Linked DNA regions of Rattus norvegicus. The protein of the gene in region 1 purifies or fractionates together with the protein of each later gene. This does not show direct contact. Links are inferred from orthologs where the notes say so. Each region holds a gene or a part of one and is shown on either strand. Other genes may lie near its edges.

What was found.
Region 2: the proteins of Sap30 (region 1) and Sap130 purify together in Homo sapiens (affinity purification with mass spectrometry; 4 studies listed by BioGRID and IntAct, with this or other methods). This does not show direct contact. The link is inferred for Rattus norvegicus from reciprocal best matches to the Homo sapiens genes SAP30 and SAP130.
Region 3: the proteins of Sap30 (region 1) and Ing2 purify together in Homo sapiens (affinity purification with mass spectrometry; 3 studies listed by BioGRID and IntAct, counting the BioPlex papers as one, with this or other methods). This does not show direct contact. The link is inferred for Rattus norvegicus from reciprocal best matches to the Homo sapiens genes SAP30 and ING2.
Region 4: the proteins of Sap30 (region 1) and Mta2 purify together in Homo sapiens (affinity purification with mass spectrometry; 3 studies listed by BioGRID, with this or other methods). This does not show direct contact. The link is inferred for Rattus norvegicus from reciprocal best matches to the Homo sapiens genes SAP30 and MTA2.
Region 5: the proteins of Sap30 (region 1) and Arid4b purify together in Homo sapiens (affinity purification with mass spectrometry; 5 studies listed by BioGRID and IntAct, with this or other methods). This does not show direct contact. The link is inferred for Rattus norvegicus from reciprocal best matches to the Homo sapiens genes SAP30 and ARID4B.
Region 6: the proteins of Sap30 (region 1) and Brms1l purify together in Homo sapiens (affinity purification with mass spectrometry; 4 studies listed by BioGRID and IntAct, with this or other methods). This does not show direct contact. The link is inferred for Rattus norvegicus from reciprocal best matches to the Homo sapiens genes SAP30 and BRMS1L.
Region 7: the proteins of Sap30 (region 1) and Suds3 purify together in Homo sapiens (affinity purification with mass spectrometry; 4 studies listed by BioGRID and IntAct, with this or other methods). This does not show direct contact. The link is inferred for Rattus norvegicus from reciprocal best matches to the Homo sapiens genes SAP30 and SUDS3.

What each region holds. Positions count from the first base shown.
Region 1 is NC_086034.1:37,757,197-37,761,293, forward strand, and holds the start of Sap30 (histone deacetylase complex subunit SAP30), read left to right. Parts: upstream 1-1,297; 5' UTR 1,298-1,570; coding exon 1,571-1,885; intron 1,886-3,661; coding exon 3,662-3,787; intron 3,788-4,097. UniProt on the Homo sapiens protein: Involved in the functional recruitment of the Sin3-histone deacetylase complex (HDAC) to a specific subset of N-CoR corepressor complexes. Capable of transcription repression by N-CoR.
Region 2 is NC_086036.1:23,551,745-23,555,244, forward strand, and holds part of Sap130 (histone deacetylase complex subunit SAP130), read left to right. Parts: intron 1-19; coding exon 20-255; intron 256-1,129; coding exon 1,130-1,288; intron 1,289-2,698; coding exon 2,699-2,810; intron 2,811-3,500. UniProt on the Homo sapiens protein: Acts as a transcriptional repressor. May function in the assembly and/or enzymatic activity of the mSin3A corepressor complex or in mediating interactions between the complex and other regulatory complexes.
Region 3 is NC_086034.1:51,306,801-51,311,091, forward strand, and holds the start of Ing2 (inhibitor of growth protein 2), read left to right. Parts: upstream 1-1,491; 5' UTR 1,492-1,936; coding exon 1,937-2,105; intron 2,106-2,235; exon of another isoform or gene 2,236-3,472; intron 3,473-4,291. UniProt on the Homo sapiens protein: Seems to be involved in p53/TP53 activation and p53/TP53-dependent apoptotic pathways, probably by enhancing acetylation of p53/TP53. Component of a mSin3A-like corepressor complex, which is probably involved in deacetylation of nucleosomal histones.
Region 4 is NC_086019.1:215,273,397-215,276,508, forward strand, and holds the end of Mta2 (metastasis-associated protein MTA2), read left to right. Parts: intron 1-179; coding exon 180-408; intron 409-739; coding exon 740-829; intron 830-1,274; coding exon 1,275-1,393; intron 1,394-1,494; coding exon 1,495-1,643; intron 1,644-1,847; coding exon 1,848-2,013; 3' UTR 2,014-2,612; downstream 2,613-3,112. UniProt on the Homo sapiens protein: May function as a transcriptional coregulator. Acts as a component of the histone deacetylase NuRD complex which participates in the remodeling of chromatin.
Region 5 is NC_086035.1:55,878,383-55,881,882, reverse strand, and holds part of Arid4b (AT-rich interactive domain-containing protein 4B), read left to right. Parts: intron 1-514; coding exon 515-612; intron 613-3,117; coding exon 3,118-3,358; intron 3,359-3,500. UniProt on the Homo sapiens protein: Acts as a transcriptional repressor. May function in the assembly and/or enzymatic activity of the Sin3A corepressor complex or in mediating interactions between the complex and other regulatory complexes.
Region 6 is NC_086024.1:79,032,803-79,036,235, forward strand, and holds the end of Brms1l (breast cancer metastasis-suppressor 1-like protein), read left to right. Parts: intron 1-1,352; coding exon 1,353-1,470; 3' UTR 1,471-2,933; downstream 2,934-3,433. UniProt on the Homo sapiens protein: Involved in the histone deacetylase (HDAC1)-dependent transcriptional repression activity. When overexpressed in lung cancer cell line that lacks p53/TP53 expression, inhibits cell growth.
Region 7 is NC_086030.1:45,151,464-45,154,963, reverse strand, and holds part of Suds3 (sin3 histone deacetylase corepressor complex component SDS3), read right to left. Parts: intron 2,875-3,500; coding exon 2,779-2,874; intron 1,939-2,778; coding exon 1,877-1,938; intron 1,729-1,876; coding exon 1,707-1,728; intron 984-1,706; coding exon 878-983; intron 1-877.

The DNA.
Region 1 (4,097 bases):
CTGTCCCAAGCTGGTCTTGAACTCAGAGATCTGCTTGGCTTTGTCTCTTTGCATTAAAGGTATGTACTACCATGCTTGGACCTAAGCTTTTCATGGCCTCTATTCCTCAAGATCCAGATCAAAAGCCTGTGTCTTTCAGTCTCAAGATCTGGATCACAAGTGTGCCCTCCATACACAGATAACATGGATAACTTTTATTTTTGCCATGTTGATATATACATACATATACATACATATATACATACACACATATATGTACATAGTCACTGAATTGACAAAATCTTAAAAAGGCTTTCTTTCAAAACTCCACCTGAAATGCATTATTTTTGCTTAATCAGTAGGATTGCTAAATAGTCCAATAATTAGCAGAGGTGCAGGGTTGGCATGGCCACGCCCATCCCTCCACCCCGCCCACCACAAGCGCAGGCAAGAATACACGCTACGCGGGCACAAACACGTACCCAGGCGCGCACGCGCGCAAACTACCCCACCCGCGACACACATAAGCGCACACACATGCATATATATATGACTCAAGAGAAGAGGGTTCTCCGTCCTCGTCCTCTACAGCCAGCGCAGAGAAGTTTTTGAGGAGCAGTCAGCAAAGGTGATACTAGTGTGGTTCCTTTAAATGGTCTCAAATCCTCTTAGATCCTTTTGAAAGGGATCCAAGCTGCAGTAGAGGCGACAGGCAGCCCAATGCCTGTCAACCGGTTGGCACACGAGTGTACCGAGGACCTGACACGCTCTAGAAATCAGCTGCGGCACGGAGATGGAGACGTAGGACTCTGCGCCTAAAGAGCTCTAGGTAGCGCGAGTTTTTCCATAAATACCAACAGCCCGTAAACTTTTTCTCACTTAATCTTTACTAACCCACCACACACACACACACACACACACACACACACACACACACACACACACACACATATTTAGGCTTCTTTCTAGGAGTCAGCTGGCGGTCTGAACACTAACTTTGCGAAGAAACAGGAGCTAAATCCAGCCCTTGCTCGCATGACAGTACAGAGACGAGAAAACACGGTAAACGCCTGACCTCACAGTCAGATTTGCCCAGTGCTTGGAATAGAAAAAAAAAAAAAAAAAAAAAAAAAGACCCACGGGTGGCTCGCCGCGCGATGCATGCTGGGACGAGTAGTTTGTCCCGTCGGTCCCGCACGTAATCAGAACAGAGCGCAAGTTGGCTCCGCGACCAAGAACTACCATTCCCGTGGGGCCTCGCGGCAGGGGAGGGGCGGGGCCGGAGGAGGGGCGTCTCCCTCGCGCAGGTTCTGGGGCTAGAAGGAGGCGGAGAAGCTTCGGTCCAACTGCTGAAGTCTCCATGTGACAGTGAGTGGGGTCCCGTTTCTAGGCGCCACTCCAGTCCTGATCACAGTCACAGGAACGGGCCGCTATTCCAGCACCGGCAGACCGGCAGGCTTTGGACTCTGGGCGTCGGACCGTGCGGCCGCCAGACTTGGGGTGCGGAGTGAACGGCCGCCCCGGGGAAGGAGGCGGAGCGGCGCGGCGAGCGGGGCTCTGTAGCGGCGCCGGCGCCCCCGAACTGGCAGACATGAACGGCTTCACTCCGGAGGAGATGAGCCGAGGCGGGGATGCGGCCGCCGCCGTGGCCGCTGTGGTCGCTGCTGCAGCTGCCGCCGCCTCGGCGGGGAATGGGAACGCTGCCGGCGGTGGGGCAGAGGTACCCGGTGCCGGTGCGGTGTCCGCTTCTGGGCCACCTGGAGCGGCCGGTCCGGGCCCCGGGCAACTCTGTTGTTTGCGTGAGGACGGTGAGCGGTGCGGGCGAGCGGCAGGCAACGCCAGCTTCAGCAAGAGGATCCAGAAGAGCATCTCCCAGAAGAAGGTGAAGATCGAGCTGGATAAGAGTGTAAGTGGCCCCGGGACCGCCCTGCCCTGCCTTATCCTGCGTGCCCTGCCCGATCTTTGGCGGGGTTCACGAGTCTCTGAGACTGGGCTGCAGGTGGGATTAGTGGTTCTCTGATTGAAACAAAGTCCCTGCAACTCCGGCCACCTTCCCCCCAGCGCGCGCTCGCGCAGTGGTGCGGGTCCCCTCCTCCCCTCACCCGGACTCCCGCTGCCTCGCGTGTCTCCCACGCCAGGCTTCCCTCTTCCTCCTTTGCTGCGATCTGGAAACGAAACAAAGGGGACCGCGACACCAAGTAGTTTTCTCGCAGCCGTGTAGTCCCTTCTGGAATGGAGGCGCCTTTGTTTTGCTGCCAGAGCCGGTGTCTGCCCCAGGGAGCAGCTCTGTAGCTCTGTTCCTCTAGGGAAAGTAGAGTCTGGCTGGATCCCACAATGCTTCTCTCTCTCTCTCTCTCTCTCTCTCTCTCTCTCTCTCTCTCTCTCTCTCTCTCTCTCTCTCTCTCTCTCTCTCTCTCTCTCTCTCTCTCTCTCTCTCTCTCTCTTTCTCTCTCTCTCTCTCTCTCTCTCTCTCTCTCCCCTTCCTTCTGCCCCCCCCCCCTTTTCTTTTTCTTTCCTCCTCGGTGTTCTCTTTCTCTTGAACACAGGCAGGGAAGCCGAGCTCACCAGTTGCCTTGCAGAGAGATGGTTGTAAACGGCGTTTGCGGTGTCAGCTCTTCGGGCAGCTGCTCTGAACCAAGGCTGCAAATAAGCCTCTGCGGTTTTACAACCCTCTCGGCAGCCATCGGGATTTCTTTTTCTGTCTTTATGCACGTCTGCTGTTTTGGCCAGCTATGAGGTTTCAGAGAATTCCACTACTACTTTTCAGAGCTCTGACTGATGGCAAAGGAAGAACAAGATACAGAACCTCCACACATCCTGTATATTTTTAACTTGCCCTTAGCTTAGAAGTCAATTGAAAAGCCTGTTCATTCGGCCTTTAATTGTAGCCTTAAAAGCGGGGAGGGGGAGAGTGTCAACCAGCTCAGTACTTTCTATCCCACCGTATATAACTCTCAAATGCCTGAGTAATTACATTTTTTTGAAAAGTTTATTTGTGATTCTGTTTGGGCAGTTTCTCAGTAGGGTCCATGAGAAACTTTGTAAGTGAACGTGAATAATTTCAATTTGCTTTAATTGAAAACAACATAATACAGTGAAATGCATTCATTTAATTCTTGAAAAGAAACCTTGGGGCTTGAAATTTAAACATAGGATATGAATATGAATTCAATGACACATTCGTAAAAAAATGCATACTTTGTATCTGTGTAGAATTTGACTATCTAATTAGAAAGATAAGGAAGCATATGTGCCATTAATATAATTTGCTGTTCTCAAGTTAGAGAAAATACTAACAAGTACAAAATTGTGGGCAATGTCACCTCTCCCCTTAAGTCAAAACCAGCAGGAGCTAACTTATTTAGGTCACCCTCGATGCAATTTGGTGACAAAACACAGAGGATTGGAATTTCTCTTCCTCTGCTTGTCTGCCTGCCAGGTGCCTGCCTGAGTTCTCCAACCATTCTTCCTACCAGCCCATCACTTTCTACTACACCCCTCCCCCAATCTCCTTAACAGTATCACAGATTGCTAATGTTACAGCAGTTTAGTATTGGAAAGAAACATGCATCCTCTTGCCAGTGCCATTAGACTGTTTTTAGTGAGCTGCCTGGGCCTGTGCAGTTTACTGACCTTAGTTTTCTGGACTCACAGTCTTTTAACCTTTCTTTGTCCTTTCCAGGCAAGGCATCTTTACATTTGTGACTATCATAAGAACCTAATTCAGAGTGTTCGAAACAGAAGGAAGAGGAAAGGGAGCGATGATGATGGAGGAGACTCACCTGTTCAGGACATCGACACTCCAGAGGTAGACCGCAGGGTTTTCTATAGTGAATTGTCAATCATAATCACACTGGCAACTCCAAAACCGTTCTGTAAATATTTAACCATTTAAAGCATCTGAGAAATCTCAAAATTAAATACAGCCAGTAAGTTGGCTTTATATTAATATTAAATCTCAGATGACAGTCTTATAGTTCTTGATATACAACTTCCCCTTTTATTTCTCCAAAAGTTTATAATATGTATTCCCCAAAGATGGAATTGTTTCATAAATTACAGGTCTGATTTTGTAAATGAAGTCATGTGAAGTGCCATACAGATCAGTGATATCTTTT
Region 2 (3,500 bases), on another chromosome or scaffold:
ATCCTAATATCTTCACTAGTTAACGAGGAGGCTGGCCGAGATGCTGATGTTGGTACCAGGGAGCACGTGGGCCCTAGCAGCTCCCTGCCGCCCCGGGAAGAGAAGCAGGAGCCAGTTGTGGTAAGGCCCTATCCACAGGTACAGATGCTGCCCGCACACCATGCTGTCGCCTCAGCCACTCCTGTCGCAGTGACAGCCCCGCCAGCACACCTGACACCAGCAGTCACACTCTCTTTTTCGGAAGGACTTATGAAGGTAACAGTTTAAAGTTCACGCTGAACCACAGCTGGAGACAGCTTGCCCTTGAGCAAAGCTATCCGAGTCTTAGGTTGGGTCCTAGGGTGCTTCCTCAGCTTTTCCCCTCTGACTGTCAGTTCAGTCTTCACTGTAATGTAGAGGTTTACTCGTCTGCAGTGATGAGGCTGTCCTGGGCACTTGGCGTCACAGGAGTTTTCTGTTACCCTTTTTTGTTGTTGTATTTTTTATCAAGTTGCTTATTTGTTTTAAAATGAAGTTTATACTATAATCCAGGCCGTCCTGGAACTCCCCATGTAGACCAACCTAGCCTCAAACTTGGGACCGTATTCTTGGGTCTGCCCCCCACTTACTGGGATTGTAGGTGTATAGCACCATGTTTGATTCTGTGGTATAATGTTGATAATTGCTCAGCTTACATATATGCTAAGTGAGTTTGATCTTGGAACTCTTTCCCGTGGTTTGCTTTAGAAGCTGACTCACTTGGGGGTATCTGAGCCTGTTGCTCTCTGTGTTACTTGGGTTAACTCAGTAACTTTTAGTTACTGAGAGTTCTGTTTACTTCTGTGCAGATGTGAGAGGCAGAATTGTGTAGAAGACAAGGCATATAGTGTGAGCAGTACAGATCCAGGCTTTCTCCCCAGTTCTGCTTTGTACTTTCTGTGTCTCTGAGTAAGACGTTTAGCTTGTCTGGACATTTCGTCCTCTGTTCTATAAACCACCAGTAGTTCTGCAGAAGAGCTGTGCTGACAGGTGAGCCATGTGCTGCCTGTCTCATTTTGTACGCCTCTGCGACTGGACGTGTGTGCTGTTAAACTGAAATGCACCTCTAGGCAAAGCTATTGACACGTCTCCTGCACTTTTCTATTTGCAGCCATCCCCGAAGCCCACCATGCCGAGCCGTCCCATTGCTCCTGCTCCCCCTTCTACCATGTCACTTCCCCCGAAAGTTCCAGGACAGGTTACTGTTACCATGGAGAGCAGCATCCCTCAGGCTTCAGCCATTCCTGTGGCAACGATCAGTGGACAACAGGTTATTTTCTCCTCCTGACTGTTAGTTTTCTAATGGCAGTACCAGCTGTTGATTATTGTGTATTTAACTCCAGGGATGCATAAGCAGTGTCCTAAATAATTAAATGGTTACTGGTGCCCACAGAGAGAGAACAGCGCTGAATCAAAAGGAGTAAGTCCCAGGCTGCTTAGTGGTTAGGCTGTATCTGCTGGGCATATCCTGTGCCAGCTACTATGCTACCTTCCTAATAAAATCACAGATAGTTACAAATAGAGTTACAGCCTTCACGTGCTTAATTAGAAAGAGACAGTTCTGAGGTGAGACTGCCTCCCAGCAGGATTGTTGGAGGCATCCTAGGTTTTCTTGGGGATAGTAGATGTGTAGCAGGCTCTGTCTGCCCTGTTTGTGAACATTTATACCAAAATCTCCTGTTTGAACTTGAAATTTTAATTGTATTCCATTATTTGTAGTTGATTATTTAATACTTTGAATTATCACACTTATTTGTGAAGAAACTAAATCTTAAGATTCTTTTCCTTTGTTTTTTTTTTAAATATTCATTTACTATATATAAGTACACTGTAGCTGTCTTCAGACACAAAAGAAGAGGGCGTTAGATTCCATTACAGATGGTTGTGAACCACCATGTGGTTGCTGGGAATTGAACTCAGGACCTCTGGAAGAGCAGTCAGTGCTCTTAACCACTGAGCCATCTGTCCAGCCCCCTTTGGTGTTTTTAAGAAAAATTAATATTTAAAAAAGATGCCCTGTCTTGTTCTCAGTTTAATATGCTAAGTAGTTTCTAGAAGTCTGGAAATGTCACCTGAGATGCACTTACGTCAGTGTGCTGGATACTGAAGGAATGAGCTGAAGCCCTTAGAGGCAGTATCTGTTGGATTGACTGACATGCATGTAGAAATCTTAAATAGCATAAACAGTAATGGATACAAAGATCTATTTAAAAAAAATAGAGTGGTGGGTAAATGAGCCTGTGGCCAGGAAAGGGAGAACAAGTCTAAAAGACTGGTGCAGACATGAGCTACTACAAATAGACCGTCAGATGTCTCCTCGGTCCGGGGTCTGGTAACTAGCTCAAGTGCACTCACTTCTGACCTGCTCGCTTACAGGTCATTATTATAACACAGTAGAAGACAAAGCTCCCGGAGCCCTTTCCCTGGGTGCCTCCCAGTTGAGATTGGGTGTATGCAGGGTAGTATAGCCGTACACAATACTCAGTATCCAAAAGGAATGGCCTGACTCAAGACCGTACGTCAATCTTGAATCATACATGCTTTTGCCCTGGAAATCTCCAAAACAGCATAAAGGAAAAGGAAAATTTTCAAGAATAGCCTGACCCAGTTTGAAGGAAAGTGACTTTCTGTAGGCAATAGCTAAGACTGTCCTCGTGAACATTGTCACTGTTTCTTCCAGGGACATCCCAGTAACCTGCATCACATTATGACCACAAACGTTCAGATGTCCATTATCCGCAGCAGTGCTCCCGGACCCCCTCTTCACATCGGCGCTTCCCACTTACCCCGAGGTAACAATGCACAGTGTGCTCCGTTAGGGAAATACTATAGCAAAGAGACGTTGGCTGGAGGACAGGGTGACAGCTTAAAGTGACAGGGCAGTGGAGATAAACCTGCAGCAAGACCGACTTTCAGCCCGGCGTGTTGTGTGCTCCCTACAGTTACCTTAGAACAAGTCTGTGGTAATCTAAAGGAAGAGAGTTTCTCGCTGTCATTTTCAGGCAGTCTTCCTAGACTTCCTTCCAGGCTGGTCTCAGACTTGGGCTGGGCTCCTCCTGCAGCTTCCTCCTGAATGCAGATTGCAGGTACACAGCACCACTCCTGGATGGTTGTGTTTGTAACAGGGCCCTGCAGTGCAGGCCTGATGAACCTAGAACTCAGAGACCTGTCCTAACATCCCCTTCGAGTTACTGTGATTACAGGGTTGTACCCACACCTGACTTCCAGTGATACGTTTACGAAAAACGTTGATTAAAGTTTTAATATCCTGCAATAGGATTGACTTATTCTTATAAGTTAAATACATTGTAATCAATTTAAGGAGTTTTAACCTTCCATTAGAATGTAAAACAGTTGGAAATTGTTGAAAAAAATCAAACTAACAAATAGAACCAGGTTTCCTCAGAGCTGTCATAACCTGGCAGTTTGCAACAATCGTAGAAATGCTGAGACACTGTTTGCCTTTTTACACTGTATCCATC
Region 3 (4,291 bases), about 14 Mb from region 1:
TAGTGTGTTTGCCTGGGTTGACCTAATATTCGACTGGTCAAAATCTCAGCGTTAAAGGATATTAACCCCTGAGTTCCCAGGCCTTACAAGATAACTCTTGTCCTCGGGACGCCGAATTCCGCGTTGTGTTTTACGAATCCAAATTTTCACTTAGACCCGGACCTAGATTTCCCTTGGCAAACACCTGCTTTGCATATAGCACTTCGCAAGTGTTCGGAACAGGCCGTGCAACAGGTACAGCGCTGCAAACCAGGCAAGAGCACCCCAAACTCATCTCTCTGGCCTTTTCTTACTCAGAGACTCTGCTCCCATGGGGGTTTACACAAGCGTTGCATCAAAATTCGGTGAGTACTCTTACTTATACCTATTTCTGGGGAAACAAAAACAAAAACCAAACAGCTCACATATTTATATACATTCCGGAAGTCTATCCGTAATTACAGTTAGCTCCTCCTCCTGGCATTTCACTGATGGTACTGGGAGAGTAAGGCGGCTAACCAACCGCTCACACAGACAGCACCGCACTCGGTGGCTGATCCGATTTTTAATCCCATCTGCACGGCTCCCCTGCTGGTTAGTGGTGAAGCCGAGTGAAAATACAGTGCCGCGCGCGTGTGTGTAGTGAAAAATACAGTGTCGTCTGTGTGTATGTGTGCGTCTCTCATTCTGCGGCCACGCCAAGTCCTCCCTGGTGTGTGATGCCTAAGCGATTCGACCTATGGAAACAGTGTCCTTAAGGTGGTTTGGGGTCGGGGGACAGGGCGGGGCGCAGTCTTGTCACCTTCTCCCTAAACCAAACTCTAAGGCGCGCGGGGAGGGGAGCCGACCCTGCGAGCCACCCTGGAGCTGGGGGGAGGGGACCGCATGCGAGGCGGGAATCGGCATTTAAAAACCGAGGGCAGGGGGCGCACCGCCTACCTCCGCGGTCGGCCCCGGTACTCCGGGAGCCTGGCGGCGACCGGAGCACAACCGTGGCCGCGGGGCGCTCGGCGGGAAGTCGCCGCGCATGCCCGGAGCCGCGCCCGCTGCACCCTGGGTCGCTTTAGTTCTCTCAGGCCTCACTCGGCCAGCAGCGCCCAGGGGCCGCTCGCTGCTGTCTTGGAGGCTCGCGAGGGAGGCGCTGGATCCGCCAGATGGAGGCAAGGTCGGTAACTCGGGACCGAGCGAGCCGAGCAGAAGCTTCCTCTCCCTCCAGGGTCCAGAAAACGAGAGAGCGGTCGCCTGGCCTCTCGGGGGCAACCGTCAGAGTTTGGGCGAAGGGGCAGGCTCAGCCATGCGGCCCCTTTAAGAGGGGGCGGGGCGCAGCCTGCCGTTTGGCCGCCCTCCGCACCCTCCCCCCGCCCCAGGCGAGAGTTGACAGACCAATCGCCCGGGTGGCGCAGGGAAGGCGGGAGAATGCGAACTCTTCGGTAGGGCGATAGGGGCGGGGCCCCAGCCTTATTAGGAGTGAGTGCTGCGCAGGCGCAGATGCGGCCTCTGGCCAAGGGGCGGGGGCAAGTCCACTGAGACTCCGACAGGCAAGGAGGCTGATAGCGAGGCGAGAGGATAGCGAGGGTCTTGTCACGGGGATCCGGGCGACCGGGCAGCTCTGGTGGTGTCTGGGGAGTCCCAGGGGGGACAGCCAGTGTCACCGCCCGGGAGCCCGGCGCCGTCGGCCGCGGGGAACCCCGCTGCTCTCTCCCAGCGAGGGAGGGGGCCGGAGGGAGCCCCGGTCTCGCCCCGCCCTTGGGCTTGTTACCGCGGGGGCGGGGAGTAAGGGTTTCTTCTGGGGGGAGTGGAGATCGGGGGACTCGGCGGTGCCCTCTCGAGCGGCGGCCGTGTCCCCGCGGCGCCGGGCTGCCGAGCGGAGGAGCGGCGGTCGTGGCTGTTGCATGTGTGGCTGCTGGATGCGGAGGCGGCGGCGGCGGCGGCGGCGAGGAGCAGCAGCGGCGGCAGGATGTTAGGGCAGCAGCAGCAGCTGTACTCGTCGGCCGCGCTCCTGACCGGAGAGCGGAGCCGGCTGCTCACCTGCTACGTGCAGGACTACCTGGAGTGTGTGGAGTCGCTGCCCCACGACATGCAGAGGAACGTGTCGGTGCTGCGGGAGCTGGACAACAAATACCAAGGTACTTTCCCTCTCTCGGGTGTAAGTGTGCGCGAAGTGCACCGAGCGATCTGGTGTGTAGGACCGGGAGAGGGTCCTGCACAACACACTCGCGGCCCTCCCTGTCCCGGCTGCGGCTGACTAGGACTTCCGAGGACCGCCCGTCAGCCCCCGCTGCAGCTCTGGCGGCTGGCTGCAGCTGCCGCGGACCGGGAATCAGCCATTTTAAGCGAGCATTTGTTCCGGTGCCTGCCGGCTGGGTGCCGCACTCTGTCCTGCCCGGGGCTGGCGAATGTGCAGCAGCGGGACGCGGGCTGGACTAGGTGCTGGGCCTGCTTGCCCCTTGCCCGCTGGGCTTCCTCCCTCTGCGAGCAGATGCATTGGAACGTATGGGGGGAGGGGGAGAGAGGACGGCGAAGGTGGACTCCGGAGATGCACCCCCCCCACCGCCTCCCGGCGTGGCGCGGGACTGGGACAGTCTGTGCTTCCCTTTCGCCCCGGGGAAAGTTCCGGGCCGCCCGGTGCCTCAGCTCTTCCTCTGCTATTGCCCAATGGTTAAAGGGGGAGGGGTCCCCCGCAGGGCCGGGCGGAGAAGGGGTGTGTGTCTGTGTGTGTCTGTGTGTCCGTGTGTGTGTCTGTGTGTCTGTGTGTCTGTGTGTGTGGCGGGGAGGGCCCAGCCTAGGGGCGGGGCCTGCAGGTGTGACGTCGTATGGGCGGGGCGCGCGCTCCCGCGGGCGTCGGCCACAGCGGGCTGCTCCTAGGGGCCGGGTGAACTGAACTGACTGCGGGCGGGACAGTAGAAGGGCCTGGGCGGAGTTAGCGTTGGGTGGTGATGTTTCAAATCTGTCCTACCCCGAGAGTGAATCAAGGCGCGGGCACTGCCGTGGGACTGTCTCTGACCCTGGCTTAGCGTAGGTTCCGGGCTATGTGTCACTTCCGGACTTCTGGAGGAAGTGGGTTCGTTGGCTGGGCAACCACCTGGCGTCCTTGCACCCTTGGGTTCCTCCTCCACCAAGTTTAAATGAGGAGAAAAGCTTTTTTGTGTTGTTAGCAAAGAAACTAGGGCAGGGAATTATCTTTAGGGACTATCATACCTTTAGGTCCTTTAGGGACTGCTAGGACAGGAGATATTTAAATGGGGATATGTTCAGGCTTTAGTAACTCCTAGTCAGGAAACTGTAGAGATCTAATATGGACCATAAAAACAACATGGAACCATTCTGTTCTCCCGGACCATCACCAGTCCTGTAACTTAATCCTGTAATACAGCCCATGATGACTTAGCACGTTAGAGCACTTAGTTGTTTCAATCTACAAACTTGTTTTCTGAGTCTCTGATAAGATTGTTTATAGAACGTCAGTGTTTTCACCAGATTCAAAATTTATGAGGTAAAAATTTACTTTAGACAAAATTTATAAAGATGAAGTGATGTATTCAGTTAATTATGTGGAGAATATTTTATCTCAAAGCTGTCTGTTTCAAAAACAACCATTTTTAAACTGCATGATTCCTCTCATTCCCAAGAGACTGAAGTTAGGTCTCACACAGGATAGGTAAAAGTCCTACAAGTCTGCCCCTATTTCCACCCTTTTATAAAATGAGCATCATCCTGTGGTATTTTATGGGGGACATATGTGAATTGCAATCTAGCAGTGAGACATGAGCTTGAGAATTCTTTGCCAAAATATGTAGTTTCTTTATATCAAAACTGTAATGTATTCTTTGAAGGCGCAAAAATCACACTCTTTTAGGTTGGTAGTGACATAGTTTTTTGACAGGGAAATCTGTGATGCCAGTTACCTATAATTGTCATAAATTGTTCAGGTAACATGAGTAGTTGACCTTACAAGACTCAGGTTAATGCAAATCAGCTCCATTCTGATTGGGATTAATTCCAAGGTTAATACACAGATAGTGGCCTTGCTTCTGCGTTGGCACCTAGTTGCTAAGCTCAACTTCACAGTTTTATTTTTGTTAGAAGCTTTATATATTTCTGTTTCAGATTTTATTTTCACTGATTCGTAAGTATTTTCTAGTGTGGGGGTCTGATGTAAGTGTTTTTCAGAAATTATTGCACGGTCTATTAAGTAGAGAAACAAAGGAAAACACAATTGATTTAAACATTTTTTGCAGGGTTGGGGATTTAGCTCAGCGGTAGAGCGCTTGCCTAGCAGGCGCAAGGCCCTGGGTTCGATCCCCAGCTCCGG
Region 4 (3,112 bases), on another chromosome or scaffold:
GACTTCTTCCATGGAGACTGTCAAATGGGCAGGAGCACTTGCTAAGTATTGGGACGCCAGGAAGGTCGGCAGGGGTTTCAGTGAAGAGGTCAGGTAGGAAGTTTGCTGTCTGCAGGTGATGGAGGACAGAGCTGCAGTGTTGATTTGCCTTTTCTCTTCTTTATGTATCATTCCTCCAGGAGCCACACTCAAGAGGTCATTTATCCAGACCTGAAGCCCAAAGTCTCTCCCCCTATACAACCAGTGCTAACCGGGCTAAGTTGCTGGCTAAGAACAGGCAAACTTTCTTGCTCCAGACCACAAAGCTGACTCGTCTTGCTAGACGGATGTGCAGAGACCTGTTACAGCCAAGGAGGGCTGCCCGAAGACCCTATGCCCCCATCAATGCCAACGCCATCAAGGCAGAGTGTAAGGACTGCGTGCTAGTGCAGAGGCTTTGATCTGCCATGTCTGATGGTGTATGCTTAGAACATAAGCCCTCAGGCTGAGACAGGATATAGCTACCTCAGTCCCTGTTAGACCAGGCTATGTAATGGCTCCGGCCTAGCCTGGATTAAATAGTAGGACCCAATCTTAAGAAACAAGGCTAGGCATTGTTACACATGCCGGTAACCAAGCAGTGGAGAAGTGGAGTCAGCAGGATGATAAGCAAGTTCTAGGCTGGGACTTCACTGCAGAACCATTTCAAAAACCCAAAACAAAGCTGCAGAATGCCCAGAGGCTCTTCTCTCTTCTCCAGGCTCTATCCGACTTCCTAAGGCTGCCAAGACACCGTTGAAGATTCACCCCCTGGCGAGACTGCCCTTGGCAGCTATTGTCAAAGATCTGGGTAGGAGATGGGAACTACACTCAATCCAGGGTGGGTGGAAGGTTGCCAGCTAAGAGTCTTTTCTTCCTCAGAGTTTTCCTTTCACACTGAGTCCACATAAACTGTGTGTGTGTGTGTGTGTGTGTGTGTGTGTTCTCTTATTATGGTGCTTCTTGTGATAATTGGTTTTTGGTGGTGGTGCTGTAGATCAAAACCCAGAACCTCATGTATTCTGGTCAAGTATTTACCATTGAGCTCCATCTCTGGCATAGTAGTGGCTTTACATAAGTATTTTCTGATCTGAAACATGTTTTTTAAAATTTGATTAAGTAGCTTGATAGACCTTTTTCTCCATTACTAATCTTTAGGCCATTAGGGTAAACAACTGGTCAGGGTAGAGAGGGAAGAAAGAATGGTAATGAGAAGGTCTTGTTCTATTTCATCTCCCTTCTTCCTCTGCTGATAGTGGCTCAGGCACCTCTGAAACCAAAAACACCTCGGGGCACCAAGACACCAATCAACAGAAACCAGCTGACCCAGAATCGAGGCCTGGGGGGCATTATGGTGAAACGTTCCTATGAGACTGTGAGTGACAGTGGACTGGGAAGGCTGAATGGGGTGGGCTTTTATTTCTAGTAGGAGTCTAAGGAAGGTAGCTCCTTCATGTACACCATGTCCTTTTCCAGATGGCAGGGGCAGGGGTTCCCTTCTCTGCCAATGGAAGGCCTCTGGCTTCAGGGATTCGTTCAAGCTCACAGCCAGCAGCCAAGCGTCAGAAACTAAACCCTGCTGATGCTCCCAATCCAGTGGTATTTGTGGCCACAAAGGATACCAGGTAGGGAGGGAGTCCACCATGGGAGGGGCTGAGAGGCTGACGATCAAGTTGGCGGGCATTGGAAGTTGTAGGAGTGTCTGAGAAAGAGAGGTGCACAGCAGAATGAGGCGAGGGTAGAACTGTAGAGTGCATTGTGGAGTTTTATCTGGTTGAGTCTTGCTGCTCCTCAAGCCTCCCTGTTTCTGTCTTGCTCTTTTTGGCCAGGGCTTTAAGGAAAGCTCTAACTCACCTGGAAATGCGCCGAGCTGCTCGAAGGCCCAACTTACCCCTGAAGGTGAAGACAGCGCTGATGACAGTGCGGCCCCCAGTTCCTCTGCCGGCATCTTCACATCCTGCTAGCACCAATGAGCCCATTGTCCTGGAGGATTGAGCATCTTAGGGGAAGGGAGGTGGGATGAGAGGTAAAGGGTTGGTTGCCCAGGGCATACAAATCTTCATTCCTTTTGGTATCAAAGGGAGTAAGGAGTGAGGGAGGGTTGGAGTTGGTGTGCGTGTGTCCTTGCAGGGGTTGAACACCCTCTGGTGTTACTGCCAGTATCTCCCCTTTTTGGGCTTCTCCATGCCTGTGATGGAAAACAGCCTATAGGAACTTACTTGTGTGTACCTACCCTATTTGGGGCCTGGGACCCACAGTGGGTTTGGACAGTTGGGGGGAGGGTTTTTTAATTTTTTTAAAAATTTACCTTCCTTTGTAAAAGGATGGAGGAAGGGAAGAGTAAACATATCAGGTGTTGGTCCCTGGCAGGGGGAAGGGGGAGTACACTGCCATGTCTCTTTTCTTTATTTTCTATTGGGGATGGGGGGGTTACTCTTACTGTCCGGTGTCCGGACTTTCCTTATTGGAGTTTGAGGGCCCTAAGCTGGCATCAACCCCAGCCCATGCTCACTCTTCTTCCCTCCCCTTTCTCCCTCTGCCTTTTATATGCCAATTCTCAGAAATAAAGATCTTTTGTCTGTTTTTTAACCTCAGATTCTGTAATTGGTTCTTATAGTGACGAATAAAAAGCTCTTTTCTTCAGCTCCTCCAGGCTCAGCTGTTTTCTGCTGCTGCTGTGTGTGTGTGTGTGTGTGTGTGTGTGTGTGTGTGTGTGTGTGTGTGTGTGAGAGAGAGAGAGAGAGAGAGAGAGAGTGTGTGTGTGTGTGTGTGAGAGAGTGTGTGTGTTGTGAGAGTGTGTGTGTGTGTTGGGGGTATCTTTGAGGGGAAATAGAGGACAAAGGACATTGAAAGAGGTACAGATGGTGCTTGTTCTAGGAACAGCTTTACGAGATAAGCAGTGGGACTGGAGGTAGTCTGTGCCAGCTAGCCTTCTTGTGGGACTAAAGCTTCTCCCATTGGGGCTGGAGTGCAAGCAGTATCTTGATCTGGATTCATTCAAAGCTCTCTAATGGCTCTGAGTCTCCACAGAAAGGTGTGAGAATGTCTTCCTGTTACCCACTTCTCCCTTTTGATGCTGGGGAGTTGATCCCAG
Region 5 (3,500 bases), on another chromosome or scaffold:
CACAGAGCTCCACTTGATTATGCTACTCCCTCCCTCCCTTCCTCCCTCCCTCCCTGTTTCCCTCCCTCCCTCTAAAACTTTTGTGTTTAAGCTGATCTGAGATGGTGTTTTAGTTACCCTGTATGGGTCATTTAACTCAGAGTGTGCTCTAGATTAAAATACTTTACAAAGTTCACTGAGTAATTTGTCTTACTAGCTTGTGAATTTGATAGGAAAATGTCAGTTTTTCTTTTTGTTAGAAGTGTTGATTTAAAAATAATACTTTTATATTTACTATAACTGAATTTATTTCAAAGTTCAATAGCTCAATATTTACATACTTAGAGTGGTCTGGCATTTGTTTGAGTACTCAAACTTTTTATTTGTAAACCACAATTAAAATTTATCATTTATTTTTCATGCATTTGAGCCTGGACCCAGTAAATGTAGCTCACCATATTTGTTATGTGTGCTAAAATGTATTACTGCCATCCCACTTCGAATTTAAAAATTTTTATTTCCCTTTGTCCATTAGATTGAAAGTGGAGCTGTTTGGAAGCAAGTCTACCAAGACCTTGGCATCCCTGTCTTAAATTCAGCTGCAGGATATAACGTTAAATGTGCTTACAAAAAGTGAGTCGGTGTACTTGACGTGACTGTCTTCATATCTTACCTAAAAACAACATGCAATATATCATTTAACTTAAGCTAACTTAGAAGAAACTGAAAATTTTTACTATTTAGTCTATAGAAATAATTCTAGATATTAAAGAATCTGTAAAGAAAATGTTAGATTCCATCATCATGTGAAAAGTACTGCATAGAAATTAAAAGCTCATGTCCCAGAGCCAAAGGTATCCTATTAGCTGTGGGTATTCTTTGACCCTATCTGGCTTTCCTTAAGTTTATTTTCCCTAGTTTATTTACAAAGGGGTCACTATGGCTTGCCCATTAGGAATGTTCTGCTTTTGAATGAAGTTTACTAAAGTGCCTTATACTTTGCATATTATAAATACTCAAAATAGATTTTTACCATTTATAATCTTTATAGCTTCTCCTTTGTATCTACTGTTGTTACTTTTATTTAGATTGTAACTTTTCACTCTTACTTCAGGTATTATTTTTGAAGTTCCTTGGGCGCTTCATGTGTTTTGACCACATTCACCCCTAACTCTTTCTTCTCCACCCACCCAACTTTGTTTTTCTTTCTCCCTTTCCTTTCCCTTTCTTTCTCTCTCTTTACTTCCCTCCTTTATCTGTCATTTTTTTTCTACAAGACCAATTTGTGTGGCCTAAATATTTTTAAATGTATGTTCTTCTACTTGGAGAGTGGTTAACTTACCAGGGATTATACTTAGAGAGAAAATTCTGTCTGTCTGTCTGTCTGCCTGCCTGCCCGCCTCCCTCCCTGCCTGCCTGCCTCCCCGACCCCCCAGCAGCTAACAATTACCAATAGTTCCATAACTTGGGTGGGATCGAGTACTCAATTTGGTCTGGTTTTGTCTTACATAGGTTTTGTACATTGTATTACAACTACTTTGAGTTCATGTATGTAGCTCCCCTGCTGTGTATAGAAGACAGTTTCTTTGTAGCCATCCACTACAATAGGCTGTTGTACTCCTTACATTCCTTCTTCCACAGTGGTTTCTGAGTCTTGGAAGGGGAGTAGCTATATATTCATATACACATACACATGTATTTTTTCTGTATAGGACTGAGCATTCTGCAGTCTCTTATTTTCTGTACCTTAGCTACTAACTATTTGTGGACCATTGTCTACTGCAAGTAGAAGTTTCTTAGGTGATCTGTGAGTGTAATGGTAAATTATTAGTTTAATATTTGTCCATTAAGCCAAAGATTAATAGGTTCTCCTTTAGGGCTTGTGACCTAATGACACAGGTTCTTAGCCTTGTAGTGGTACCCAGGTATGGGTTTTGCTCTGTGGAGTGGGACTCACAGGAAGCAGTTGATTACTCCCACAGTGTTTGTGCCACTGTTGCCCTAGAGGGCACGTTTTCCAGGCCACAGTCATCATTGTAGCTGGAAACGTTAAAATAGTTGGGTGTGATTAAGGATTACTTTTCTCCTCCCGTAGTTTACTTAGCACCTTTCAGACTATAAAAGACAGCATTTTGGGATGAGATATCCACGTTTCTAGTAGCATGAATCCTATAACTCAAGCATGTGGTGTCTTCAGTAGTAGTATCTTGCTCTCCAGTTCTGAAGGGTAACCAAGAGCAGTTAGGTAATAGCTTAAACTTAAAATGTTTCAGGGGTCTATTGACTATCAGGCCTATAGCCTTCAAAGGCAGTAAGTAACTCATCCCCACTGGGCTTTTCATTTGTTATCTTCTGGTGTCTAGTAGGGGCATTGTTGATCGATTACTGCGTAATGTGTTTTTAAAAGGTCTTTGTTATTTATTCCCTTTTCTAACACACCTTCCATTCCTTCACCCCGGTTTAACTCTTCCTGTTCCATTATTCCCTTTTTAACTTTTTATACAAGTGTATTCAATCCCTTCCCTTAAAGGTCCCTTCTTTTGGTTTCTTAGTAACCTCAGACCTTTGTGGGTATTTCAGATGAAGTACACATATTCCGAAGATTGAACATTAACATTTACAGACAACTGAAAACCTGATGTTTTTCTTTCTCGGTCTGGTTTACCTCACTTTAGAGTGATTGTTTCCACCTCCATTCATTTACCTGTGACTTTAAATAGTCAATTGATTTTATTTGATACAATGTTTAAAATGGGGGGTGGGGCGTTTCTGGGCATGGTGGCCCATGTCTGTAACCCCAGAATTTGGGAGACTTGAGATAAGAGAGCCAATAATTTTAGGGTTACACATTTAGTAATTTTTCTCTCAATAAAAGATGGAGAACTATTAGAATGTGTTAAGATGATCATATAACCTAAGACATGAATGCATATTAACTAACAACTTTGTAAAGTGGCCACTGTAATGCATCTGTGTGACCTCCAGGAGGCTTTAGCATCTTCTCCGGCTTCAGGCCACCCCCCCTCCCCCCGCACCCCCAATGAAACAAAAAGAAAACAAGCTAAAGTAACCCTACACACTATTCAGTAATGTATTTGAGTGTTTCTTGCTAAATGTATCGTTTTTGCATGTTTCCAGGTACTTATATGGCTTTGAAGAGTACTGCAGGTCGGCAAATATTGATTTTCAGATGGCATTGCCAGAGAAAGTTCTTAACAAGCCATGTAAAGATTGTGAAAATAAAGAAATAAAAGTTAAAGAAGAAAGTGATGCAGAGATCAAAGAAGTAAATGTGGAAGACAGTAAGAACATGATACCAAAAGAGGAGACGCCTGCTGAGGATGAGAGTGAAAGAAAAGAAAATATCAAACCCTCTCTGGTAACCATATACCGTTAATTGTCATCTGTCATCTAGATAGATTTTCTAATCATTTGTGAAGTTCTTCCAATCAATTTATTAGCTTTCTATGCATTATTATTCTTTTTTTTTTTTTTCTTCTTTTTGGAGCTGGGGACCTAAC
Region 6 (3,433 bases), on another chromosome or scaffold:
TTAGAGTGGATCAACCTTAACATAGTGGATTTGCTTGGAATTTATCCATAAGTGATCCTGATTATTAATTCTTACAGTGTAATTAATCGTTATGATCTTAAAATAATGACTTTACAGACTATTAAGAACTTTTGGTGGGCCTATTAGTTCTTAATTCTTCTGGCCCCATTTCAGTTTTCTCGATAAAGAGACATATCAGCTGGCAGTGCTGCTCAGTTGTTAGAGTGCTTACTTAGCATACGCATAACCCTGGTTTTGGTCCCCAACACGACGTGAACTGAGCAGGGTGGAGAGCCTGTAATCCCATAACTAGGGAAGTGGAAACAGGAAGATCAGGCGTTCAAGGCCAGTCTTGAGCTGTGGGGATCTCTGCAAGTGCCACAGCCAGCAGAATAATGATCTGCATGAAGCAAAAAGACAATCCCACTCAGCGTAACTTAGTGGCCGGTGTTGGTTCAGACTTCTAGAACTGATTCTAGGCTCTATTTTAGTTATATTTTAGTACAGTTTGGGAAACTAATGCAAATCCTGTGTGCACACAGAGGCATATTACATTGAACTCTTCTCAAAGAAATTATCACTTCTTTCACGAAGACGGGTTCCAGATGGGCTTCATGTGACTTCCTTAGGGCCTCGGGGAAGATCTGGTGTGGTCTTAGTCATACAGACAGTACAGAGGTCACCTAGACTATTAACCATCTCCAGTCCTGTGTGTGGGAGCCTGGGAGAACTCCTGGCCATTCAGGTAGCACAAGGATCACCTAGGCTAATAGCCAGCTCCAATCCCAGACTGCTGGGTGGAGAACCCTGAGTGTTTAAATTCCTGGTTTTCCAGTTATCTGTGAGCACAAGGACCTCTGTGCTCCCAACACAAATAGCTACAAGTAGAGGTGGAGGGCAACCTGGGATACAGAAGACTGTATTTCAGACAAAAAATTACTAATTTAGGCAGGAAAGAAAGCCTATAAAATATCTTGCTGTGATCTTTTGCAAATATTAATGAATTATTGCCTTCGTCCTTTATAGTTAAATTCTCAGAATATCAGCTTTCTACTGTAAGAAACCCCTTTTGTTCTAGATAGCAGCATTAGAGTTGTTAGTGCAGGGCCTGGTACGTGAACCTGTTGAGCCTATTACATCTGGTGTGAGAGCTTGATTTAAGCTAATAATCTGAAGATTAGTATAAACCGGGGGGAGGCAGAGGAAATGCAAGCTCAGGGCCAACCTGGGCTATAAAAGCATGTCCTTAAATATATAAGGAAAAAGAAAAGAGAAATGAACCCCCAGTGATAAAACAATAAATGGAAATGAAATGAAGCACATTGTAATTCATTCTCTCTTTTCCTTTTTAGTGCTGTAATCACAACAATTAACCATGATGAAGTCTGGTTTAAGAGGCCTGATGGAAGCAAATCTAAGCTTTATATTTCACAGCTACAGAAAGGAAAATACTCAATTAAACACTCGTAATCACGGTCTAAGTGTTCCCCACATGTACCTTATTAGTGTTACCAAGTGTAATGTGCCATGGGAGCCAGGAAGTGTATTCAGCAGCTTAGTACTCCCACCCATCATGAGAGAATGTGTCTTCTAGGTCGTCCTCAAAGTAGACCCCATACTAGTAAGTCATTAAGAGGAATAGTGATTAGAGCTAATCATGACCATCACGTTTATTTGCCTCGTAGGTCCCGTGCCAACAGGTCTGTGTGGTATGTATTTCTTTCTCCATGTTGTTCAGTTTGTGTCTTACTCATGTGAGTGCGTCTCACCTTTAATGAGCTACAGCTGCAGTCCTCTGCAGTTTCAACCCCACCATTGCCACTCGTGTTTGTACATAAGGCTGATGAAATGTTTCCTATAAATGATTTGTATTAGTGCCGTAGTTTCAATCAGAACTGAAATTTATACACAAGTGTGTGCGTGTGTATATACAGTGTCCCCAGCGTACTTCAAACTGGTGGCCTACCTGTACAATCTTGTTTTACCCCAGATTAAACTGTTGGGTTTGAGGAGAAAAGGGAGCACTTTTGTAGACTGGTTTTCCTTCTCTTCTTCCTTGATGGCAGTGACCTCTTTGCAGATCATATTTGGTGTTTATTAGTAGCATTGTGTCAGGTGTGAACATGTTGCTGCCTGTGTTTATTGTGAGCTTTTAGAGGGCAGGCATCCTGCCTGGTGTTTATGATGCACAGTGTCAGAGTGACAAGTGGCTGGCAGTATTGTCCTGCTTTCTGCACATCTGAACTTTTGAAGATTTTAGTAAGCATTTTCCAGGGGCAAAACTGTATCCTTATTCTAATTTTATTGCTTGAGTAAAATACATATAGACATTTCCCTTAACTCTACCACCCCCAAATTAGCTTTTAAAGAAAAATCTAGTGTTTTTTACACTTTCAGGCCATTTGGTGCAATTTAGAAAATGTTGGCCTCTCTTCCTTTAGCCATGTTCAGAATTAACTTGGAAAGTCTCTGGAGCTGTGCAGAAACTGGAGCCCTCAGCCCGGCCGCGCAGCTGGCTATAGTGTGTACGTAGGGTACAGCCAGATGAAGCACTCTGCTGCTCTCATGCACTTTAATTTCTGTTACAATGGTATTTAAGAGGATGAAGAAGATTCACTTAACACTCCTCAAAGGAGTCCTGCATGATTCCGTTAGTTCCTTAGGATTTTACCTCTGCAGATACCCCGTGCAGGTTACTACTCCACAGTTGCCAAATTGTAACCGTCTGACTTCTGAAATTCAGTATCAGCAACCTTGTGCTGCTCTGTTCTGTTTCTGATCACCCATAGCGGCTGTGTGTACTGTCCCAATCCAGTAGCATTTGGCAGTGCTTATATATATATATACATATATATATGATGTTTGATAAGCATTTTTAATGAGATTTGTATTTTTAAATTTAGTATGTAATAAAAAGAAGTGTTTGAACGTCATTTGTAGTGTTGTGTGTTTCTTACCCACACTGCAGTTCGGTTGTTTATACCCAGTCCGCTTGTGTGGACGGCAGCAGGCCCACTGCTGTGGAAGGCTTCTGCTCGGCGTCCCACACTTGCACCTCCATGAGGCATATGTAAGTTATATTTAACTAAAAATACACTTGCAGTTGTGTTATATTTAAATAAGTGTACTCTGTTTTGAAATTTTAACCAGAAATAATTTAAAGATTTATTTCTCACACTTAAGCATGAAAACTCTGATTTCTATATTCTGACTTACTATTCCACCTTCATGTTAAGGTCAGGGTAACATTAAAATCATAGATTTATTGACAATTTACATCTCACTTCAGAGTGTCTGTCCTGTTGGTTTCCCCTTTACTGATAAAAATATTTGCTCTTTATATATAAATTTATTATTTACTGAGCTCTGGTTCAATTCTAGGTGCAAATCACATGTCATATAAATAACTGGCAAAGATTTCCTCTCATTTTGT
Region 7 (3,500 bases), on another chromosome or scaffold:
ACAAATGGAAGACAGAAACTCCCTATAGTGGCCCACGCCTCCCCCACACAGCCAACTGAACATCAGGGCGAGCCATGTGCACGTACGGCACCTGCCTGCACAGGATGTCCAACAGCAGCCATGGACATCGGGGCTAAAGGACCACTGAAAAGATGGCAGGAGTGGTGTACTACCTGGGTTGTCTAACCAGTGTTTGTTGAATGAATAAATGAGCTTCTCGAGTTCCTGCCTATTACTTCCAACGAAAGTCACAGGCAACCAGAACGGCTCATCTACGAGTTTTAGGATATAATCTCCCAACTACACTACACCCTGAGAGCAACAGGACTGTCTAAGAAAAGGTACCGCCGTCGGGTGAAAAGCATCTACCCCATGAGAGCCGTGTGGCGCTGAGAACACCCACTCGGCTTACCTCCAACCTGCTTAGATCACAAAACCCTTTCTTCCTGTCACCTTTAACATAGGAGGGGGTGGAGAAGGCCATATACCCTGTCATGGCTAGACGGGGACAGCCTGTAAACTCTAGCGTGGAGACAGCAACATGATACAGAAAGCTCCACAGGGCATGCTTGGAGAAACACTGCTCTCAGTGGCCTCCCGAGGCATCCACCAGCTGGCCCTTAGTCTTCAAGCAGAAGCTCACCAAAGGCTCCGAGTCTGGGCCAGAGCCCAGCACTGGGCCCGAGTCTCAGCACCACCAAAAGAAACTAAACTAATGTCCAAAGAGCTAAGCCGAGAAAACAGAGACAACATCGGCTCACCCGGCCCAACCCTCCCAACAGCCCTGCTGACACCGCTATGAGCTGTCCACACGCCTCACAACTTACCATCGCTCTTCCGAGACGGCTGTGAGCCGCACATGCTCCTCGTGACTTACCATCTCTTATCATAATACAGTTTGCCATCTTCTATCCGCGCCTCAAATCTCTGTGCTGGAGACTCTGCAGGTGTGGCAGGCAAGTGTTCAGGAGAGGATGGGGAGGCTGGAGGAATTAGAGACGCCAAGATGACAAGCAGACAAGTGAACCTGGCCTGAGCAAGGGGCTCAGCGATGCCACGCAGGAACTGATACACCAGTGAGGCCACAGCCCTGACCAACAAGTCCTTCAGTTAGTTATGGAGCCAAAGTCACTGTGCTGCCTGGGTTGGGTGCAGTGGCTATCCACAGGGGCCTCTGGCTATCCACGGGGGCCATTAGTGCTGACTGCATCAGTCTCTGTAACCTGGTGGCCCCTCACTGCCAGGTTAACATGTTGATTCTAAACTCAGTGTGGTCACCAAATCAGCATAGCTCAGTGAAATATTCTGAGTGTTTCAAGGGTGTATGGCCTACTAATGAGGACTAGGAACAGCCAGGGGGCCTAACCTGACCAGACCTTCACAGACCAGTAATGCCAGGGCTGAGCTCCAGAAAGCCCAGGACACTGAAATTTCCGATGGATTCAAGAGTGGAACTGAAAATGGTCCTGAACCTAGTGTCCGCCCGACACCCACACAGAAGGAGCCTCCAAGAGCCAAGCGAAGGTCTCCTTTACAGTAGAGTCCTAAGGAAAAGACAGAATGGCTGGCTTTAAAGAGACAGCACAGAAGAGACGGGTTTATGATTTCCTGTCCTCCTCATGACTTCTTGTGATTCACTCCTGGAAACCACACACCTGCTTTCCCAATGACAGGGGACAAAGACTGGCAATGTCATCGGCACTCACCTGGTCTCTTGGGTGACTTAAGCTGTAGGAAGAATAACAACAAAAAGGTCTCAGAGAAAATCATCTTACAAGCAACTTAAAGCATCAGAGGTGTCACGGTGACTTTAACAAGTGACAGGGACTTAAGTCACATGTGAGCTTTCAAGTACGTCAGAAACATCCCACTGTACCTTGTTCAGTGTTCTCAGATCTTCCATGATCTGCTCGTCTGTCAACAAGTAGTTTAGCTGAGGTGCTGAGAGTTAAAGAACATGTGCATCGCATGGCTTCCAAGGAAAGGCACACAACGCCCCGACGTTTTGGGACTGGAGAGGCCCAGGCCACACAGAGGCTGTCCTCAAGGTAAGAACTCTCCTCTTTAAAACGCTGACTCTCGTGCTAAAAGTCATCAGGCATAGGGAAGAACTCAACATGCCTCTCGCTCGGACAAACTGCTCTGAGGGGAAGGGAATTAGATGTCAGCAGTGGTGGGAACACAGGACAGTAAGGGGACAATTTCATCTCAGGGTTGAAAGCACTGAAGCTTTCCAGACATAGAGGGAAACTCTAGTCTCACAGGGGCTTAATTGTGCTGCGAAGGTGAGAGGGCCTGGAGCTTGTCCTCGGCTGGAGGCACACAAAGTACAGCCCACTCTGGCCCACCGGCCATGTCTATGGGTACACAGCATCTTTCCATAAACGCCTTACCTACTTGTGGCCAGTTCACAGCCCAGCAGTACAGAGGCAGGTACCTGGTGGGCCCGGGCAGTCTGCAGCCCAGTACTATAGTCGGATAACTGGTGGACACAGCTGTCCCTCAATTTACATATCTCATTGTAAGTTGCCCTGAGCTCTAAGGGAGTGTGAAAACAAGGCTGTTTCTAAAAGAGTTCCTTTCTATGTAACTTCTCTGGAAACCTCTCCAATAAAAAGCAATAGCTGAAGACTCCAGGGCAAAACGGCCACCCGACCCGTGGGTTTCCATATGCTTTCCCGACCAGTGCTGGCACTGCTCTGTGAGATCCCGCCCTGTCTACTCTATCAAGCCAGCAAGCACAGGATTACACCATTCAAGCTTGGCACAAGTGGATATCAGGAGCTGGTTTTCTCCTCTTGTCTGGAATGGGGACAGGATCGTTTGGTCGCCTCCGTAATTTTCTGGTCATGATGGGTTTCACTTCCATAGAATCTGTGTCAAGAACAGGAATGAATCGATCCAACGGCCCCTGAAGCCAGCTGGAGTCCAGGCAGATTAAGAACGTTTGTCCCACGGACACCCCATCACAGCTGTATGACCAGCAAGCTCAGTCTATGCGAGACCCTGGACGCCCAGGCCAGGCTGCAGGCCCTGTGCTTACCTGAGTCAGGCTGGCTGAGCACCCATAGTCACAGGCTATGGGACTGAAAAGAGGCTGCGGATCAGGCAGGCACCTCATGTCTGCTGCTTCCACAGAGGCTGGGGGCTGAAGCCCAGGGGCATAGAAAACCCTTTTAAAGGCAACTGACCCCAAGCCCTTTGTAGCTACCTGAGGTCAAGACTGATACACCAAAGACTGGGAATGGGGCTGCCTTTCATTCTGGATTTCTCTACATGAGGTTCGGTAGATGGACTCCACACAGGGTAGCCTCTCCTCCCCCAGCAGTGGCCACTCAGATATGCTCTCCCCAGGGCGGTGGGCAAACCTGTCACCCAAGCCTGCCCCTGCCTGCAGGTTTACTTTCAACACCAGCAAGTCCTGCTCTTGAGAGCTTCAAACATCCACTTCCTCTGAGTCTGGCCAGGGAGCCCCAGAGCTCAACTGGGGCAGCATAGAA